5 linked regions of the Oryctolagus cuniculus genome follow. The protein of the gene in region 3 interacts with the protein of the main gene of each other region in a pairwise test. Links are inferred from orthologs where the notes say so. Each region holds a gene or a part of one and is shown on either strand. Other genes may lie near its edges. The genes, in order: NAPB, BET1, STX4, VAMP4 and CYBRD1.

Evidence for each region.
Region 1: the proteins of STX4 (region 3) and NAPB interact in binary tests that used the Homo sapiens proteins (3 or more experiments, as listed by UniProt). The two-hybrid records come from large-scale screens. The link is inferred for Oryctolagus cuniculus from reciprocal best matches to the Homo sapiens genes STX4 and NAPB.
Region 2: the proteins of STX4 (region 3) and BET1 interact in binary tests that used the Homo sapiens proteins (3 or more experiments, as listed by UniProt). The two-hybrid records come from large-scale screens. The link is inferred for Oryctolagus cuniculus from reciprocal best matches to the Homo sapiens genes STX4 and BET1.
Region 4: the proteins of STX4 (region 3) and VAMP4 interact in binary tests that used the Homo sapiens proteins (3 or more experiments, as listed by UniProt). The two-hybrid records come from large-scale screens. The link is inferred for Oryctolagus cuniculus from reciprocal best matches to the Homo sapiens genes STX4 and VAMP4.
Region 5: the proteins of STX4 (region 3) and CYBRD1 interact in binary tests that used the Homo sapiens proteins (3 or more experiments, as listed by UniProt). The two-hybrid records come from large-scale screens. The link is inferred for Oryctolagus cuniculus from reciprocal best matches to the Homo sapiens genes STX4 and CYBRD1.

Annotation. Positions count from the first base shown.
Region 1 is NC_091442.1:47,609,046-47,612,558, forward strand, and holds part of NAPB (beta-soluble NSF attachment protein), read right to left. Parts: intron 1,471-3,513; coding exon 1,354-1,470; intron 1-1,353. UniProt on the Homo sapiens protein: Required for vesicular transport between the endoplasmic reticulum and the Golgi apparatus.
Region 2 is NC_091447.1:41,915,539-41,919,696, reverse strand, and holds the start of BET1 (BET1 homolog), read right to left. Parts: upstream 2,811-4,158; 5' UTR 2,602-2,810; coding exon 2,583-2,601; intron 1-2,582. UniProt on the Homo sapiens protein: Required for vesicular transport from the ER to the Golgi complex. Functions as a SNARE involved in the docking process of ER-derived vesicles with the cis-Golgi membrane.
Region 3 is NC_091450.1:6,128,860-6,132,196, forward strand, and holds the end of STX4 (syntaxin-4), read right to left. Parts: intron 2,865-3,337; coding exon 2,756-2,864; intron 2,680-2,755; coding exon 2,603-2,679; intron 2,481-2,602; coding exon 2,343-2,480; intron 1,132-2,342; coding exon 1,021-1,131; intron 951-1,020; coding exon 867-950; 3' UTR 852-866; intron 764-851; 3' UTR 507-763; downstream 1-506. UniProt on the Homo sapiens protein: Plasma membrane t-SNARE that mediates docking of transport vesicles. Necessary for the translocation of SLC2A4 from intracellular vesicles to the plasma membrane.
Region 4 is NC_091438.1:26,791,313-26,795,397, reverse strand, and holds the start of VAMP4 (vesicle-associated membrane protein 4), read right to left. Parts: upstream 2,808-4,085; 5' UTR 2,587-2,807; intron 1-2,586. UniProt on the Homo sapiens protein: Involved in the pathway that functions to remove an inhibitor (probably synaptotagmin-4) of calcium-triggered exocytosis during the maturation of secretory granules.
Region 5 is NC_091434.1:69,597,822-69,601,796, reverse strand, and holds the start of CYBRD1 (plasma membrane ascorbate-dependent reductase CYBRD1), read left to right. Parts: upstream 1-1,163; coding exon 1,164-1,356; intron 1,357-3,975. UniProt on the Homo sapiens protein: Plasma membrane reductase that uses cytoplasmic ascorbate as an electron donor to reduce extracellular Fe(3+) into Fe(2+).

The sequences.
Region 1 (3,513 bases), on a different chromosome or scaffold from region 3:
GCACTGGAACAAGTGCAGCAGAGCCAGCGTCCCACGTCCGGGGTGCTGCCTGTCCTGTCCCAACACATCTACAGAGGAAGGGGAGAACCCCAGCGAGTGCCAACGCTACTTCCCAAAGTGGGGAGCCAGCACACAGCCCTGACCCAAAACGCTGGTATGTATAATGCTGCACATGGCTGACGGCTCCAGGGCAACTGCTTTTGGTTTGAAAGAGGCAGCGATGTGAAAAGGCCTGACCGAAGAATCATGAAGATAAACAGATCAGCAAAGATGAAAAGCAATCTCCTCCCAAACTGTATTTTAAAGAGTGGACTCGCCGCTGCACTTTACAAATAGACAACGACCAGAACGGCAGCCTGTCCCCGCTTGCACAGAAGCCCGCCATCGCAGCGGACGCACCTTTCCTCCCAAAGTGTGTGGTGTGTTTTCTGCAATCAAGGTCACACAACCCTTGGTATCGCGCGGTGTATCATGACCACGCGAATGCTGACTGGGTCCCGGGAAGAGTCTCTTCCACCAGGCATTGTGACGCCTGTATTGTATGCTAACAGGTGGACACACTGTGAGTCCCTCTGGCTACTCCCACTGCTCACACGGTCTGTGTCCAGTTTGTCATTAGAGAAATAAACTGTGACTTATCTGTGTATAAAAAAAGCCCTCGAAGATATCTTATTTCTATATGACATAGTCATAAAAGTTGGGGTTTCTGTGTCAAACAGAAAGTACCACTAAAAGAAAAAAACAGACGCAGTGCTATCCATGCAGTGTGCCAGAGGGAAGAAATCAATGCTGTTAATTGCTAATGCACACTTCCAACTAAAAAAGAAAGAAACTTGCAAAATGCTAAATATCCAATTCCATTATTTCCTCAAAACCAATATGTGGAAAAAACATTTAAAAAAATGACTACAGTGTGAACAAAAGGTGTTTTGAACCACAGATATCACAATCTCACACTGACTGGCTCCTAAAATCCACCAGGCACATGGAAGGGGGCCCTTAGTTGCCTTTTGTGATCAGTAACATAGTTCATAAAGTCAAGATGGAAGAAGGCTTAGATAAATTTCCAAAATGCAACATCAAGTGGCTTAGAGGAAAAACGGTGCTGACAACTAAACCACCAGGATACGAGATGCACCAGGACACATTTCAACCGTTTTCTGTTCACAGAAGCCTCCGAAGTCTCCACCAGGAAAAATCGCTATCCTTACCCAAGAGTCACTATCATTTCAACACACAAAAATTCCTCTACTAGGACTGGAAGGGACCCCACGCGGGCCTGGAGGCGGGAGGCACGGTGGCCCAGTCAGCGCCCCCGACGGTCGGCTGTGTGCCCGTGCCCGGCGGCCTCACCTTGAGGGTCTGCCTTTTTGTAAGCGTTTCCGGCGTCCACAAAGCTGGTGGCAGAGTCATGCTTGCTCTGCAGCTGCATGTGCAGCTTGGCCGCCTGACAGAACGCGTTTCCTGCAGCTGAACAAGAGAAGACCACAATCAATCAATCAATCAATCAATCAATCAGAAGAAGCAACGACCACAATGATTCATACGTAATTAATGAATTCCTGCAGAGCGGCCCCCACCTGAGGTGCTGGACCTCACTAAAAAGCAGCATTCCCACCTGAGAACCTTGGTCAAGTGCACCCAGGTGCACACAACAGCAGCCTGACCTTCCCGTCCCAGCCCTGGGCACGCAGCCTCCCGAACAGCCAGGCTCTGGGCTGTTCAATTCTACTCGGCAAACACGTAAAGGACACACCCTCGGGCCTTCCAGCTGCAAAGTGACTAAGCAAAGGCAACACACCCAGAGCGAGGGTGCTGGCGGCTCCTTTTCTATCTTGCCACGTCCACTGTGCTTAGCTGTCATTGCTGAAGTTGCTAAGACAGGCTCTAAGGAGAGAGTTTCTTAAAGACTGAAAATGAGGCCTACAATTTTGAATCTTAAAATAAAAAAGCCTAAAAATTCAGTTTTTCCTCTAGTGTATAGCAAAACCTGATAGAAACTTATGCACAGGTATGGCCTGCTCTGTACCAGGCAGGGTTAGAAGTTGTGCTCTTCCTGGAGCACCCTGACAGGTGTGGCTATAAATAATACCCAGATCCCTGCTGGGACACAGCCTGTGACAAATGTACAGAGTCTGTTCAGAGCAAACTCTGCCTCAGGGGCACAGATTCTGTGGCCGAAGAGGGAGGGAAGGGACCCCTGAGAGAGGCATCATGGGAACATGGTGACAGGCCTGTCCTGCCTGCAGGAGGCCAGTGGGACAACAGCTGAAGCTGCACCCGGCCTTTCAGGGAGGGCCTCCCCACCTCCGGCAGCAAGTCCCCTGCGGTAGGGACGCCTGAAGTGCCTCCAGCTCAGGAAGGTCTGGAACAGGCAACCCCCAACGGGAAAGGACAGACTCTGCACCCAATCCCACCAAAGCTCCACCTGTGACCCCTGTCCCAAGCCCTCCCCAGAGGCAGCCACTGACTCCCCCGTAGGCTTCTCAACCTTCACGCAAGGGTGAGCACACTCTGTGGCTACCTGACCTGCACTCAGTTCCTGCTCCAATGAAGAGTGCCCAGGCAGCTGTGGAAACACGTGAGTGCAGCGTGACATGGGCACTGCTGCAATCTGGACGAGGGCATCAGGAGGGGCCCTCTGGGAGGAGGACCGTGCCCTTACGCAAGCGGCTGCTGCGCGGCCCTGCTCCTGCACTGCAGCCCTTCCAGACACGGCATCTGCTGGCGCCTGGATCTTGGACCGCCCAGACCCCAGACTGTGAGCAGCAAGTTTTCACCGTTTACTCAATACTCAGCCTAAGGTATTTTGTTATGGCAATTAACAAGAGACTAAGGTTGGCACTGGCTAGTCAGAGTGGACACTGGCTATGGGGCTGGAGCTGGAGACCATGGCTGGCCTGTAAAGAGGCAGGTGGTCCCAAGGAGTGGCAGAGACTCTGCCAGGGTAATGGGCAGGCAACAGGGGTACCTGGGGCAGCAGCCAACCACCAAGTGGCAGTTTAGGAACACACCAGCTGGCTGAACAGCTGATAGGCTGAGGCCAGCTCTGATGGGCTCTGCCTCTGCCTCTCTGTAGCTCTGCCTTTCAAATAAATAAATAAATCTTTCAAAAATAAAACACTATTATTTATTTGTTTTGCTTAATGGTGATAAAGGTATCAGAGAAAAAGGAAAGAGAAGATTGCTCTTTTTTTTTCTTAAAGATTAATTTATTTATTTGAGAGGCAGAATTATAGATAGAGAGAAGGAGACAAAGACAGAGGTGTCGCTCCCCCTCTTCGTGGAGGAACGACACAGGACCCTGCACTGTTCTTTTGTCTGTTCGGCCTTTCCCAGGTTTGCTGCTGGTTCTTCCCGGGTTGGCTACCGTCCCTTCCACCTCCGTGGAAGGGCGGTTCCCCCTGCCACCTTCCCCACTTCCGCGGGGGAGCGGCACACCGCCGGCCGGCTCTCTCGGGGGCTGCACAGGTGTTCCTTCAGATAGATGTTCCTGGTGCATGTTGTCTCTCT
Region 2 (4,158 bases), on a different chromosome or scaffold from region 3:
AAGCTAATGTGTTATGAATTTAAAGACTGGGCTCATTTTCCCCCCACTCAACAACTAAAATCATTGTCTTGAAAAATGCAACTTTATTAATGAATAGTCTGTGCAATCTATAATAATGATCAACATCCTTAAGGAAATGGAAACATCTTCTACTTATTTTATATGTTTAAGAGCCAAAGTATATAACATTGCCCAATAAGTAATTACTGACTGGTTGGATTCAATCACTTTGTAACTTCAAGAAATTCTAGAACTTCTTCAAGTTCTAAATGAATAGCTACTTACTATATGTCCTTTGTTTGGGTCTTTTCACATACATTAATTTTAGTTTTAGATTTCTTTTATATTGCTTCATTTATTCATTAAAAAAATTTTGAGAAGCAAAGAGACAGAGAGCTCCCTTAGGCCAGTCTGTGCCCCCAAATGAACAGCAGGGCTGAGCCAGGCGGAAGTCAAGAACTGGAGACTAGATCCAGGGCTCCCCCAAGGATGCCAGGGACCCAACTACTCAAGCAGTCACCTGCTACCTTCCCAGGGTTTGCGCTGGCAGGAAGCTGGAACTGGCGGCAGAGCCGGGACAAGAAACCAAGCATTTCAACAAAGTTGCCCCAACCAGTGGCTTAACTACTTAGGTCAAATACCTGTCCCTGTTCCATCTATTTAAAATGAAATTCTCATTTTATTTCTTGTCTGGAAATCTTTCAGTGCATATTTCTATTAGAGTTTTATCTTCTCTCAGCTATCACCCTCCCCCAGGGATGGACTCATGGTGTAGCAAATTAGGCCACTGCTTGCCATGCTGGGCATCCCTTATCAGATGCCTGTTCAAGTCCTGGCTACTCTGCTCCCAAAGCAGCTCCCTACTAATGTGGCTGGAAAGGCAGTGGGGGAGGAGCCAAACTGCCATCCATGTAGGAGACCCAGATGGAGTTCCTGACTCCTGGCTTTAGTTTAGCCCAGTTTTAGCTGTTGAGGCCATCTGGGGAGTAAACTAGCAAACAAAAGATCTGTCACCCTGCCTGTCAAATAAATAAATATTTGAAAAAAAAAAAAAAAAGCAAAAAACATCATCCACCAACACAAATATTCTTCACATGAATATCTATCAAATTCATTATTATTCCAAATCTAAAATTGCAGGTCATTTCACACTGGCACTTCAAGTTTTTTTAAAAAAAACCGTCACTTCATAACAATGTAAATTATAGCAACAGTTCCTTAATCGATGTGCTATCAGGACTGAGAACAATTACTTCTCAAGTCCCCTTCCTGCAACTTAACCAGGGAGAGTGCAGTGCAAAAAATAAGTGGGCCTCAAGGGCAATTTAGGAAATCTAAACTCCTTGGCCTATAATGCAATCTCCACAATGTGGTCTCATGTTTCTTGGTTCAATCAAATTGGTTGAGTCATAATTCCTTAGCTACATAATCCTAGTTCTATGCTCTTTGTTTTTTCTTTTCTTTTTTAGTGATCCTCTCACCTGAAACTCATCTTTCCTAACTTCATTATTCATGGTCTACTTCAAGGTCACCATCTCTGCAATTTCTGAGACATTATCTGCAGAACATTATCTTGTGTTTGGATGTATAGCTGCCACCTTGTACCATAATTTACCTTTGCACATTTTCCTACTTCCCAGCTGTGGGGAGCACCAAGAAAGTAACAAAACAACTATATAGCTAGAGCTCATTCAGGTATACAACCTAAAGACACTGAGAAAACACATAGGCTGGTGAAAACTAAACTTGATCAACATTCTTTTCTGTCTTCAATTTACCTGGCTTTCTCCAACCAGATTCACAAAAACTGCACTAAGAAAGAACACTGACACACTGACAACTTTCATTGACCTTAAAGTTGACACTTTTCGTAAGCCCTGTTTTCGTTTTTGCCAAGTTATTACCACGGCTGGCAGAGACAGTCATCTTTCGCCAATGCTCACATATATTCTCAATCACGCTGCACTGATAGAGCAGGGTTCTTTCTCGTCTTTCTCCTCCTCCTCCTCGTGTTTAACCATCTCCTAGTACAGAGCTTCAGAACCATAAGAGGTAGTCCCGACAGCTGCTAACCAGTGGAAGAGGTTCAGATAAGAAATGCTCCAGGCACACTGCCTTTGACCCCGACCTTACACCCCAAGGCCTGTAAGGTAACGACGTGTACATGTACCTTTGTCACTCACTGCTAGCCGACTCACATAATCACTGTGGAAGCGCTTAGCATGCAACCCCACTCTTCGTATCTCCCTTCTAAGAGGCAGAGGCAGCAGGAAAGCAGAAACAGCAGAGAGGCCAGGCCACCACACAGCACACAGTCCGACGACTGAGCTGGCACCTGCATATACCGCACCCCAGTCCTATGCTACTCTCCAAGACTCGGGTCCGGAGACCAAACCTAAGGATACCCCCGTAAGATCTAGGACAAATGACGTGCTTCCACTAGGCACCGCCTGCATGGCTCCCCTCCACACACGCCGTTTCTGGACCAGATGCCGAGTGACAGGACACCAGGGCGATTTTCTCCCGCGCCGACCAAGGCCGGCTCTGGGGCTCCCCACTTCGCACCTCGGACCTCTTCTTACCCAGGCCTGCACGCCTCATCCCGCCAGAAGAGGGAGGAAAAAGGCAGGCGGGGGTAGAGAAGTTAGGAAAGGGCCAGAGGTCACCCGGACCGCGTCTTCAGTCCCAGGGCGCCGCGAAGCACCAACTTCTTCACCCCAAGCGCCACGACATCACTGAAGCCTGGTACACCGCGCCGACTGATGGCGTCAACCCGGGCGCCCATTGGTGCTCCGCGAGGAGAGTTGAATGGCATTCTGGGAAAAGTAGTTCGCTGTTGTCGTAAAGGGCATGGCTGGAGGAGCGATGGGGACTCGCTTCCTGGAGTGGGCGGGACTTCCGGAAGAGGGGCGACATCCGCTTTGGCTTCCTGTTCCGGACCCTGAAACTCGCTGTTCGGTACCGTGACCCCGTATGCTAGGGCCGTGGGATTAGCTGCCTACAGGTCCCTACATTTAACACAATAGCTCAGCTTCTCCCGGCCCACGAGAGGTGGTTGACTTACCTTTCCTGATTCATACTGGTACTCACTGTTACCTGCAGAGTTAGTTCAGGGAAGTCTGAGAGAACTTCGTCCAAGTTTCTCGTCTTGCAAACAAGTAGTCCGAGACCCACTGGCGGGGCAGCAGAGGCTAACTGATTTGTGCTTGGTCACACTCAGGGGGGGAGACTCGTGCTGGGCTAAGGCAGCAGGGGTCTCTCGGAGCCCCCAGCGAGCCGGCTCCCTGCTGCTCCCTCGGCTCCCTTCTAGAAGCATCGTTGGGGTTAGGGAGCACGCCTGAATCCCTTAGACACGTGGTGCTGAATACTGCCTTACATATAGCAATGTGCCGACTGGGGTTTTTCAGTGCTTGGGGTAGGGTGTGGTGAGGAGTGTGTTGGTGCTGCTGCCTGGGTCAAGTGAGAATTTCGTGTTATCTCACAGGATGAGGTACCCTGAGGAGACTCTGCAGCAATGGTTTTTGAAGACATCTGGGACGCAGGAAATGCTCGGAGTCCGCTGGTGTTTGCGTTCTGATGTTGCTGATGTGTGACAAGGTAATGGTCTCCCGGCTAGAGGTCTCTGAATCTTCATCATGTCCTGTTTCCTCGGTTTCCCATTGTGACAGTGATGTAGCTGTGACTTCAGTTTCTGCCTTAAAGTTGCTTTCTTAAAACACAAAAATAAGTTTTTATAATTGTTAGGAAAAGAGTTGCAGATTGGTGCCTCCTCACACGGGGCACCATAAATGTTAGGAAAAGAGGTGCAGAATAGAGAGGAGGCAGTGAATGAATTTACAGCCAGACTGAATTTATTCAGAGAAAATAAATTAGAAGAGGTGAATGACCAACTGCCCTCCTGCACATTGATGGAACACGTGGCAGGAGGCCCTGACCCCCCGTCCTGGGGGTCCTGGCCTGTTTATATTTTAGGAGGGCTAGAGGCGGGGGTGGGATTAGGGAGCAGCAGGTGGAGGGGAATTCCCGGAACTGGTCTTTCAAGTGTTCCAGCAACTGGTCTTTCAGGTGGCTGTGGGAGTGGGGTATGAAGGCAATAGGATGTGAGATCCAATTGAGATTCAAGGGTAAGGAATACATGCCAATGTTTATCTATCTTTT
Region 3 (3,337 bases):
CCGTTGCAGCCAATTAGAGTGAACCAGCGGATGGAAAACTCTCTCTGCCTCTCCTCTCTCTGTGTAACTCTGCCTTTCAAATAAATAAATAAATCTTAAAAAAAAAAAAAAAAAACACAACAACAACAAGGAAACCAGGGCTCAGGTGCCTCTGCCTCTACCTGCGCCTCCAGGTGCGCTAACCCGGGCTCACCGGCTCTGTTAGCTGAACTCTTCCATAAACAGCAGTGATTTCTTCTGATCACGAGACCTGGGGCTGGGGCCTCTGCCTGCCAGCCCCTTCCCTTCCTTCTTGAAATACCTGGCTCCTCCTCATGGCTTCAGGGCTAGGTGCTCAGCGGTCCTTCCCCAGGGAAAAAGCAGGAGTACCTCGCTGTGGGCACGGCACCTAGGGCAGCCTGACCTGGGCCTGTCTGGGCCTGGCCTGGCCCCAGGGGTGGCCAGCAGGTGGGGAGAGGCTGGGCCAGCTCGCCAGCAACAAGGGTCTCCAATCCAAGCTCGCTCGCTCGTTTTTCTCTCTTTTTAATTTTTTACAAAACCATGTGTCCCAGTCAAACAGGACAAGGCAGACCCTCCCTCGCCCAGGCACTGTAGCTCGAAGGGGAGGGGGGGCCCCACGGACGAGCAGCTGCTGACCCAAGAAGAACCGCCTGCCACCGCTGTACAGGGGCCCGAGGGCGCCGGGTGGAGTGGGGGTCCTCACTGGGGGCTCTGTGCTGCAGGGAGACAAGGCCAGGACCTGGGTCCCTGGAGCTTCCGGTGCCTGCAAGGGAAGGAGGGGGAGGAGGGTCTGAGGGGAGGAGGGAAGGCTGGGGAGGGGGCGGGGCGGGGGAGGGGCCAGGAGGTCTCACCGAAAATGTACAACTCTAGCCCACCGCTATGGTCACGCCGATGATGACGGCCAGGATGAGGACCGTGACGGACACACAGATGGCAATGAGGACTTTCTTCTGTGGGAGACAAGAGGGTCAGGGACGACCGAGTGGGGCGCCTGCGCCCGGGGCGGGGCGGGGGGCTCACCTTCCTCGCTTTCTTCTGGTTCTCCAGGGCGATCTTGACGTGCTCCTGCCCGCGTTCCACGTAGTCCGCGGAGCTCAGGATGTTCTTCTCGATCCGGTTGATCATCTCCCCCTGCTCGCGGGATGAGGTGGCTCAGAGAGGGAGCGATGCCTGGGCACAGCGGGGCTGGGGACGGGGAGGCCAGCTGCGCCTTTGCCCATGCCACCCGGCAATGACTGACGCATCTCCCAGGCCCACGGAAACAAAACAAAAACTGCCCCCAACAGAGGCAGCTCCAGAAGTGACCCAGGCTCAGAATCTTGGGATGGTTCCGGGATCCCTTCTATCACGTGGTCCTATCTCCCCGCTTCCCTTGCCCCCATAAGGTGACATCCAAACGCCTGCAGAAGGCAAATTAAGAGCTTGTTTTCGGGGATCCAGTGCTGTGGCGCAGCGGGTCAACGCCCTGGCCTGAAGCTCTGGCATGCCATATGGGCACCGGTTCCAAGTCCCGGCTGCTCCGCTTCCAATCCAGCTCTCTGCTGTGGCCTGGGAAAGCAGAAGAGGCTCAAGTGCTTGGGCCCCTGCACCTGCGTGGGAGACCTGGAAGAAGCTCCTGGCTCCTGGCTCCGGATCAGCTCTGCTCCAGCCGTTGCGGCCATTTGGGGAGTGAACCAGCATATGGAAGACCTCTCTCTCTCTCTCTCCCTCTCTCTGTCTTTGCCTCGCAAATAAATAAATAAATCTCTCTTTTTTTTTTTTAAAGAAAATAAGAGTTTATTTTGGTGCCCCAAATTTGGAATCCAAGCACAGATTTCTCCTAACGTGCATTGGCCAGTCACTTTTTGAAGATCCCTCCTATACATGATTTCAAGATTTTTTTTTTGCACCCCAGAGAAACTTTCTCAATTCCATTTTCCATGCCTTCTTGCAAGCACCCCCCGTATGTGCAGGGGCGGCTTGTGGCCGTGTGCTCCACGGGTTCATACCTTTTTCTTCAGATGGTGAACTCTGGCCCCTGAATTCAGCCATTCTTCCAGGCCTGTCTCCCGGCTGCTGTGCAGCCGCCCCTCCCCCAGCTCCTCCTGGCACCACCAGCCTGCAGGTCCTGCTGCTCCTCCTGAATGAGATGCCCTCCCCTGCCTCCCAGCGGCAGAAGTGGCACTGGCTACAGCACCACAGACGCCGGCTCCCCTAGGAGCTGCAGTAGCGCAGCAAAGCCAGGGCTGGGTACAAAGCCTTGGGGACAGCGGCTGAGAGGCGGAGGGGGGCTGGCGGTCACGGCCGGCCAGGGCTTCCGCCTGAGCAGCGTCTCCCATCCCGGGGAAGCTGCGTGGGCTCACCTGCATTTCCACCTCGGTAGCCAGGAAAGTGAAGATGTCATGGAGCTCACGGATGCTGCGTTCGAGCTGCTGGATCTCACTGTGCCGGGCGGAGATCTCATTGAGGGCCTGCCGGGTCACCTGGGTGTCCTTTAGGATCTGAGGGAGAGTGGGTATGAGCGGACAGGTCACGGCAGCGCGGGGTGGGACACCAGCGGCAGGCCAGAGGGGGTTTCTCTGGGGCAGCCCCTTCATCAGGGACGAGGGTGATGGCCACTCACATTGGACACAAACACTTCGCTCTGCCCGCTGTCCAGCATCTGCTCCAGTTCCTCGTCGGACACCGCCCCAGCATTGGCTGTGAAGGGAGAGGCCAGGCTCAGAGCTGGGGCAGGGGGTGACCTGACCCTGTGGACTGGGCGTCTGCAACTCACTGATCTTGAGTTGCCTCCGAATCCGCTCCACGTTCTTCTCCCGGTATTCGGACTGCATCGAGTTGCACTTGTTGATGAGTTCCACGAATTGCTGCGACAGCACCCCATGCTGAGGGTGGAGAGAGCACAGGCTGGGCACCCCGGGAAGGACCCCCGCCCCACCTGGGCCTGGGCATCCCACTGCGCACACGACAGGAGCTTCTCCAAGCTGCCTGCGGCATCGGCCACCTTGGGATGACCTTGAAGGCGTCCCCATTTGTCCGAGGAAAAGGCAAGACCACTACGAGAGCCCAGGTGGCCTTAGGTGATCTGTCCCTGTCCCTGTCCCCTTTCGGACTTCCCCCTCTTCTGCTGAGCCCTCCCTCCTGTACAACACTCACCGCTCCCACCCTTAAGGTGCTACCTTGCCTCCCGCAACCCTCTCCATCCCTCTCCCGCGCCTGGCTCTTTTCTCCTTAACGCTTCCTCCGTCCTCACGCCCTTTGCTTATTCCCAGGTTCACTGCTCTATCTGAACAGCTCAGGGCTGGCGCACAGTCATCACTGAAGGCAGACCAGCCAAATGCCAGCCAGCGCGGCTGCG
Region 4 (4,085 bases), on a different chromosome or scaffold from region 3:
TGGTGTCCACCAGATAATCTATGAAAGAATTGTTTGCCCCCCCCCCCCCCAATTCTAGGGTCACAAAAGTGTTCTGTGTCATGAGACAGTAAAAAAAAAAAAAAAAAAAAAAAAAAAAAAAAAAAAAAAAAGCTGTGTTTGTTTTCCTTATATCAGAACTGAGGTAAGTAGCTCCAGTCTTTGCTACAGAACCATCTCAGCCCCTTACATGTTAACATGCATAGTAACTTTCTAGGAATATGCTTGAGTATGCAATATAATTAAAATTTTCTGGCAGAAAAAGCTGTCCTATGCAAATATGAATTTTCAGCATTTTGAACTTGATGGGTGAATATACAGCAATTCAGAATAGCTAAGATGTACTGAATGTTATTTACTATGGGCTGCACCTTGCACTCAGCCATACACATGCATTTTTCTCTTTTAATCTTTGATACTCTTTTGAAGTAGGCACTAAGAAACTGAGAGAAAAAATAAGGCTTAGTAAATACAAATAACAGTGTTTGTCATTTCAGTCATTGAAATAGCAGAGACATAAACCTAAATTGCTCGACAGCTGTGCATTATCAGCTTTCTTTGCTTATTTGAGAGGGAGGGAGGAAGGGAGACAGAGAGAGAGAGAACATGTTCCCAGCTACTTGCTCACAAAATGTCCACGATGGTCCCCTACCAGCTGATGCCAGGAGCCTGAAACTCAATCCACGTCTCCCACATGTGTGGCAGGAACCCAATCATTTCAGCCATCTCTGCTGCCTCCCAGAGTGTGCATTAGCAAGAAGTTGACACCAGGAGCTGGAGCCAGGAATGGAACTCAGGCACTCAAATGTGGGATGCAAGCATCTTAACCAGTGTCTTAACCACTATGCTAAATGCCTGCCCCCATAATTAGCTCCAATATTTACTCAATTAGGTTACACATTTCTGTCCTGGAAAACACATTTTCCCATGATAATCCAGGAGCCCTGTTCCCTCTTCATAAGAATTTAAGATCTTTAAATTAGGTATTGTTAGGCATTAGTTTGTTAGCTAATGTTGGGCACTGAAGAAAGAAAAAGGACCAGGGTATAGGTTCAAAGACCTAATAAAGGTAATAAATATTTTGAGCCAGCTTCCTATAAAAAAAATACTGAAAAGAAATGTTTCCAAGTTAGAAACTCAACCACTTGTCACATAAACCAGTGTTGCCACCTAAGTAACAGTTCCAGAGTTCTTCAATTCACAGTTTTTGTCACATACGTCCTGTCCATTTATTCCCCATATTTCAATTTCCAAATAATTCATCCATGCAGGAATGTTGCAGAATGCATGGAAAAACAGATGACAAAGCAAATAACTGAGAAACTTGAGCTTTTCTCATGTGTTTGTTTATATTTTAAACCCTACAAAGAGGCTGCCTCAGCAGCCCCAAAGCAAGACTTGTAAAATGCCTTTATGAGACCTAAAGATAAGATCTTAATGATGAGCAAACCCCCTTCGAGGTCCCATTCTCCAAGAATCAACCTCACAAAGTCAAGAAATCATGTCTGACAAACAGAAAAGCCAGAAGGAAGATTAATTAGCTATGCTTGAGGAGTCACAAGGCAACAGATATTTGTATCAAACTAGTAGAAATAAACCACGCTCAGCTATTGGATTCGTACATATTCTGCCTAAGATTTCTCCTACAAAAATACCTGTGAATTTAGGTGTTTGTATGTAAATGAGGCAGCCACCATTATGTATTGCCACACTGAGGACAGGCACCACTCCACAATTCACTTTAAAAATGTCACAACACTTTATACTTCTTACATCATCATCACAGGTAAAAAACCTCATGTACGCATTTTTGTAGTGTGTTCTCTATTCCGTGGCTTTATATGTAATAACCTTCTAATCTGCTGCTTAATAAATGCTGACTTTTTGCTTTCCAAAGAAAACCAAACACACACACACACCATTTATGTTTTTCAGTTCACAAAAGCTGGAATTTGAGCAGCCTTCCTTTTCCCAGCCTCCAATCCCTTTCTGACTTCTCTTTCCCATCTCTCAGCAGCTTTGGTTGCCCTCTCTCAGAAATAGAGACTTGGCTGGACACACTGGAGATGTTATTCATACAACCTGTCAAGTGTACTGCCCGACCCCCGCCTTCCGGGGTTAGAAACGTACACGGGCTGGTGTTTTCGCCCCAGCCCTTCCTTAAAGCACCATTTCCATAGCCTCCAACAGGCAGCTCCCCTTACTCCAGCGATCGCACCAGGCCACGGACCCCCACGTCTGCTAACTCGGGCCCATCCTGCCCCTGACACCCACTCACCCCAGCTACCTCCCGCTCTGAACAAATCTTCCTCATCCACGCACCCTTCTCTTCCCATCTCCCCAGCGCACCCCTCACCTCCAGTCTCCACAACCGCCCCCCATCCGCACACCCCGTCACCGACCCCGGCCCCAACCCCTTCCCTCTCAGGGCTCCTCGGCCCCCGGCCCCTAGACCCCTGCCCGCCTAGCCCGACCCGGACGTTGGGGGGCCGTGGGGCAGGGGCGTCGTCTTCCTTTCCTGCCTCCTCACACCAGCCCCTCCCGCCGGGAAGAGGCCGGCGCCAGTACCTGAGGCTCCCGGGGAGCTCCCGGCAGCTCTCCCGAGCGGGCGGCGCTGGGCGGGCGGGGGAAGGAGCGGGAAGCCGAGGGAAAAGGCTGGGAGGGGGAGACAGTGGGCGCGGACCCGGCGTCGGCCGCTGCGCCGCAGCTGCGCCCCCGCTCATCGAGCCGATCGGCGCTCCGCGGCCTGGCTGCAGGCGGAGGGGGCAGCCCAGGGCGCGGCGATCGCCGAGGGAGTCGATTCCGCCCGCTGCGTCTAACCCCGAAGAACCTCTGGCCTTCCAGCCGTCTGAGATCTGGATACCCAAGCTATGCTGTGTTTTGAGGAGGAACAGTGGTTCTCGAGGTGCTGGCGCGCATCAGGCGTGCGTGGTGGGCGCGAGGGGAGCGGTGTCGGAGCCGCTGAGAAGTAGCTTAGGGTGGGGCTCGGAGCTTCGTGACTGGGGTCGGTAAGACCTTTAGGTGGTGCTTGTGCGAGATCCGTCCCCAGGCTGAGGAAGTCGAATGGGAAGAGGAAGGTGGCTTAGAGGACCAAGGGACACGCAGGGAGAGGAGGAAGTAGACACGCTCTTACATGCTGCTGCTGTTTCTGTGTGGTTGACTTAATGCACTAATTGAAAAGGCGCCGCTAAGGCTTGCCCCTGGAGTTGCCGTATCCGGAAGGCTTGTGAAACTACTGGTGCCCGGGCACTACTCAGATTCTGATTTAGTTTGCTATGTTCACAGACTGCGAGCAGTGGGGTTGGGCTCCCTCAAGAGCTGGAGTTCGCTACTGATGAGGACAAAAGTGGTCCATCTGGAATGGAAGCCTCTTGTAGTTTCTGTCCCAGCCTCCACGGATAACCCAGAAATTAGTTCTTCTCTGAAGTGATTTTGTGTCTGTACTATTTGTGAGTAATCTATTCTTTTTCTTAGTTTTTTTTTTTTTTTTTTTTTAGATTTTTAAAAAATGCTTTGACTTGTAAGTAAGAATGTCAGAGACAGAGGAAGAGACACAGAGAAAGAGAGCTTCCTTGTACAGGTTCACTCCCCAAATGGCTCTAACAGCCAGGTCTGGTCTAGCCCGAAGTCAGGGGCTGGGTTCTCTTTCCTGGTCTCTCACGTGGGTGGCAGGGCCCAAGTACTTGGGCCATTTTCTGCTGCTTTCCTATGTAAGTTAGCTGGGAGTCAGCTAGGAAGCTCCAACCAGTGCTCTGATACAGGTGGTCAGCATCCTAAGTGGTGGCTCAAGCTACTGCGCCACTGCGTTGGCCTCTTAGTCTTTTAACCAAAAGGATCTGCCAGTCTTTTTGGTATGATTGCTTACGGGAGGGAAAATACAAACTTCACCTTTAATCACTTGAACAAAGTCCCTTTGATTTCCCTAACATGTGTGAAAACTTAGAAAATGTCGTTTTACAGTTACCATGAATCCAATATGCCAGTAAACCTGAAAGATGATAAATAACACTGAATTTAGAGTCAGGACTCCAGCCAACCTGAATTATATTATTTCCTCCCCTGTTTTC
Region 5 (3,975 bases), on a different chromosome or scaffold from region 3:
TGTGATATGCCAAGGTGGAATAAAGTGATAAAGTGGACAGTTAACGCCTGTAGGGGGGCAGTCTGGAGAGTGGAGAGGGCCAGACAAGCAGATCATTATGTTACATTCTGGTAGGTGATGCAGAGAGGTCTTGGGTGCGAAGGTAGGGTGTAAAATAGGAACATGGCAAACGTCCTAGCTTCCTGTCTGAAGAGAGGTCAGCAAATATAGAGGAAGGGAAGTGGGTAGGGAGCGGTGTACAGGCAAGGACATCCAGAGCGTCAGGTCAGGTCCTGAGAAAGGACTGAGTAGAGGGCTGGGCTGGGGGAAGGGATCTTTGCCTTCCATTTGCTTACTCTCCTGCTTTGGGGGGTAGGGAGGATAATGGCACAGGTGAAGTCTGCAGTCTCCTATCCCTCCATCCTGCCCCACTACCCCGGCTGGACGCCTGTACTGCTTTGGTCTAAAATCTCTATGGAAAATCACCCAGACATACGTGGGCACATTCTAAGGTCTCCGAATGCATTCTGGAAGCCCCGCTAAGGAGGACAGGCTCCTGGTCCAGAGCACAGGGTGACGGGCACGCTAGGAAGAAGGCAGAGACCCAGGTTCACTTCATCAAGGCGAGGCTGGGAGTCCGACTGGTCGGGGTGTGTGGGCGCTTCTGTGGCTATTTCTGTGGCACTCTCCATGGGAGGCCAGGGGCCAGGAGGTGCCAGTCTGCCCTCTCTCCCCAGCAAACTGCGAGCCTGGCCAAGCCCAGACCGCCCCGCAGCCTCCTCCCGCAGGAACCCTGGCACCAGAACACTACACACGCACGACCCCACCCGGGGGATCCCCGTATCTGACGTCCAAAAGAGCGTGCCTGAGCCCCTGCCCCCGCGGGGCTTTGGGCAGGGATCCAGTAAGAGGGCGTAAGGTCCTCGGCGCCCTCCCGACACTACCAATTTGGGGCGACGCGAGCCCTGGGCCAGGCGGCACGCGGGCGAGGGGCGGTGCAGCGCCATCCCGGGGGTGGGGCGCGCGGGTGGACACGGGCTAGGGGCGCGCACCCCCGGGAGGCCCGCGCAGGGGCCCCGGCCGAGAAAGCCCCTCCCCGGGGGCGGAGACAGCAAGCGAGAGTCGCCGCCCGGGGCCTGCCGCCGGGACCAAAAGGCAGCGGCGGCGCGGAGCATGGGGCTGTGATGGCCATGGAGGGCTACAGGGGCTTCCTGGTGCTGCTGGTGTCGGCGCTGCTTGTCGGCTTCCTGTCGGTGATCTTCACCCTCATCTGGGTCCTACACTACCGCGAGGGGCTCGGCTGGGACGGAGGCGCGCTCGAGTTTAACTGGCACCCGGTGCTCTTGGTCACTGGCTTCATCTTCATCCAGGGCATCGGTACTGAGCACCTCCTGGCGGGGTGGGGGGGGGACGGCGGGGCCGGGGGTGTGTGGGGTGCTCTTAGGTCTGGGTGTGCGCGGCCAGCGGTAGGAAAGCGTGGAGACGTCCGCGACCGCACGAAGGGAGCGGCGGGGAGCGCCCCGAGGGCACCTGTAAGGCGCGGCCTGGCACTGAACTTGCTTGCGGGCTGCAAATTTCGAGGCTGCGGCAGCGGGCGAAAATGGAGGAGCTAGAATTTGCTTCGAGGGCGACCTCCGCAGCCGCGGGGAAGGGTCTGGTCAGCCGAACGGCGCGCTCCGTCGAGCCGGGGGCCGCTGCCCTGCCCGGCCATGGGACAGTCTGGAACCGAGCTTGTTGATGTGGCGGCCGCCTGGCGAAAGCTCTTCCGTGGGGCTTTCTGTTGGGCGCTTGTCCCGAATGCGGGGTGGGAGCCGCCCGGAGCAGGCCCGCGGCTGCGCGGCCGTCCCGGGCTGGCCTGCCTTCCCGGGAATGCGGTTGGCGCTGGCCAGGGGCGTCGGTGTGGATCGCGGTTGTGTCGTGCCCGGGGTCCCGAGGGTTTTCTTTTCCTGTTTGGCCTCTAGCTGGTGGCGCAGGCAGCATTTGTGTGCGGCCACTTTCCAGAGAGCGAAGTCCAGGCTGTGATCTTGAGAGAGTATAGAGGAAACGGGGTCGTGCGTGGAAAATCGTCAAGCGTTTGGAAGCGCCGCCCACCCTGCCTTGTCCGCACCAGTATTTAACGCTCCACGAACAGCAACAGAAGCGCTGTCCTCCTTCCTAAAGGAAAGCGGTGGTTTTTGTTTTTCCCGTTGCACACTTGGCCCCAGCCGTAGGCGAGTGTGGCCTGTGTGCTCCCACTCCGGGAGGCGCTGGGGGACGCTGCCGGGCCTCAGGCCAGCCCAGGCTGTCCTGGTGCGAGCTTGGCATCAGGCCTCCAAGTGATCCCACTGCACAATTCCCGACTGTTTTGCCCCAGCACAAGAATGAGAAAAACACGCTCAAGTTCCATAGTCACTGGCATCAGAAGCACTTTTGGGCCGTGCGCAGCCCTGGGGTTGGTCCAGAGCTGGCCACGCCTGTTGTCTCACAGAAGAAGGAGCCGTCTCTCTCCTTTAACTTCTCCGAGCAGCTCCTAATACCCACGCACTTTTCAGAGGTTTTGAAGTGTACTCTCGTGGAGTAAGGGAAGCACAGGTGATACCACGGTTGCCTGACTCAGCAAAGAGGACTTAAGTCACAAAACACGTGGTGCTCCCTGAGTGCTTTCTGGGTCACTACTAAGTGCATTCTCTGCAGGTGTCTGTGGGGCGCCGGGGCAGAGTAACCTATCAGTAACCTATCTGTGGAAGTAGCCGGTTCTCAGTGGCCTTAACTTTCAAGGTTCATTTCTCTGCTTTTTTTGGCAATAGGCTTGTTTCCTGTAAAATCTTGTTAGGGAAGCAAAAAGCTTCACCTAAAATGTGCTTTGAAGCCTCTTCTTTCACGTGAGAGGCTATTGCACAGTTCTCCTTGAAGGTCTTCTCCTTTCTCAATTTTGGGCTTGTCTTAATGTGCTTAGCCTTTGGGGCAAATTGTGTAAATGGATATTTGGGGATTTTTATCTGCTCCTCTTAAGCAAGCCTGTTTTCTTTACCTTTTGTGCTAATGTTCCAGCGGCCCCCCTGTTTACTGTTCAGGTTGAGGATTTGTGGAGCACTCTGGTCACTCACGTCATCATACATTTAGTTGAGAGTGACATGAGATGTTGGTATGTGTAGACATAGGCGTAGGCCTCCCGTATCTGGGCCACACACACGCCTCACTCAAGCCGTAGGAAGGCTTCAGTGGTGCTTTCCTACATACTGAAAAGATGACATTGTCCCAAGAGCCAAACTACATGGGAATCTGAAAAGGAGCAGTAAATACAGATGTTTCCCAATTTACTGTGGGGTCCCGTCCTAATAAACGCACCATAAATTCAAAATTCCAAGTATGGTTTCCATTGAATGCACTCCATTGTAAGGATGAAAAATTGTAAGTGGAACCGTTGCTGAGTAGGTGCTAGGTGGAGGTGATGGGCTGTGAGGGAGACACACGTTACAGATCAGCCACGACAGAACAGCATTTCTACTGTGTGCAGCTACTTCAGGGAGGATCATGTTAGGCGGTGAGATTTCACAGGTCCCATACTGAACTCACGTGATGTGGAGTTCTTCTCTCCAGTAGTGCACAAATATTTGGAGGCGAGGAAAGGAAAGCTAAAGTTTAGTTATCACTCTAAGCAAAGAATGGTTTATAAATGCAATGTATCAACAGTGAACTGTATTTGAAACTGTGAGGATAAGTATGGTTCTTCTGAAACGTGCTGAAGAAAGCAAGGCTACCATAGAAGTTATATAATCTCCCTGTCTCTCTGACTCTGTCTCTGTCTCTCTCTGTCTCCCTGTCTCTCTCCCTCTCGTCTTCTCTCTCTCTCTCTCTCTCTCTCTCTCCCTCTGCCTTCCTCCCGACCTTCCCTCCCTCCCTCCCTCTCCACGTACAGCCATGCTCCAAGTGCATTTTGGAAAATGGATGTATTGTAAAATACAGTGTAGCACACTATAGGAAATCTAACACTAAAATACAATGTTAAACTAGTGG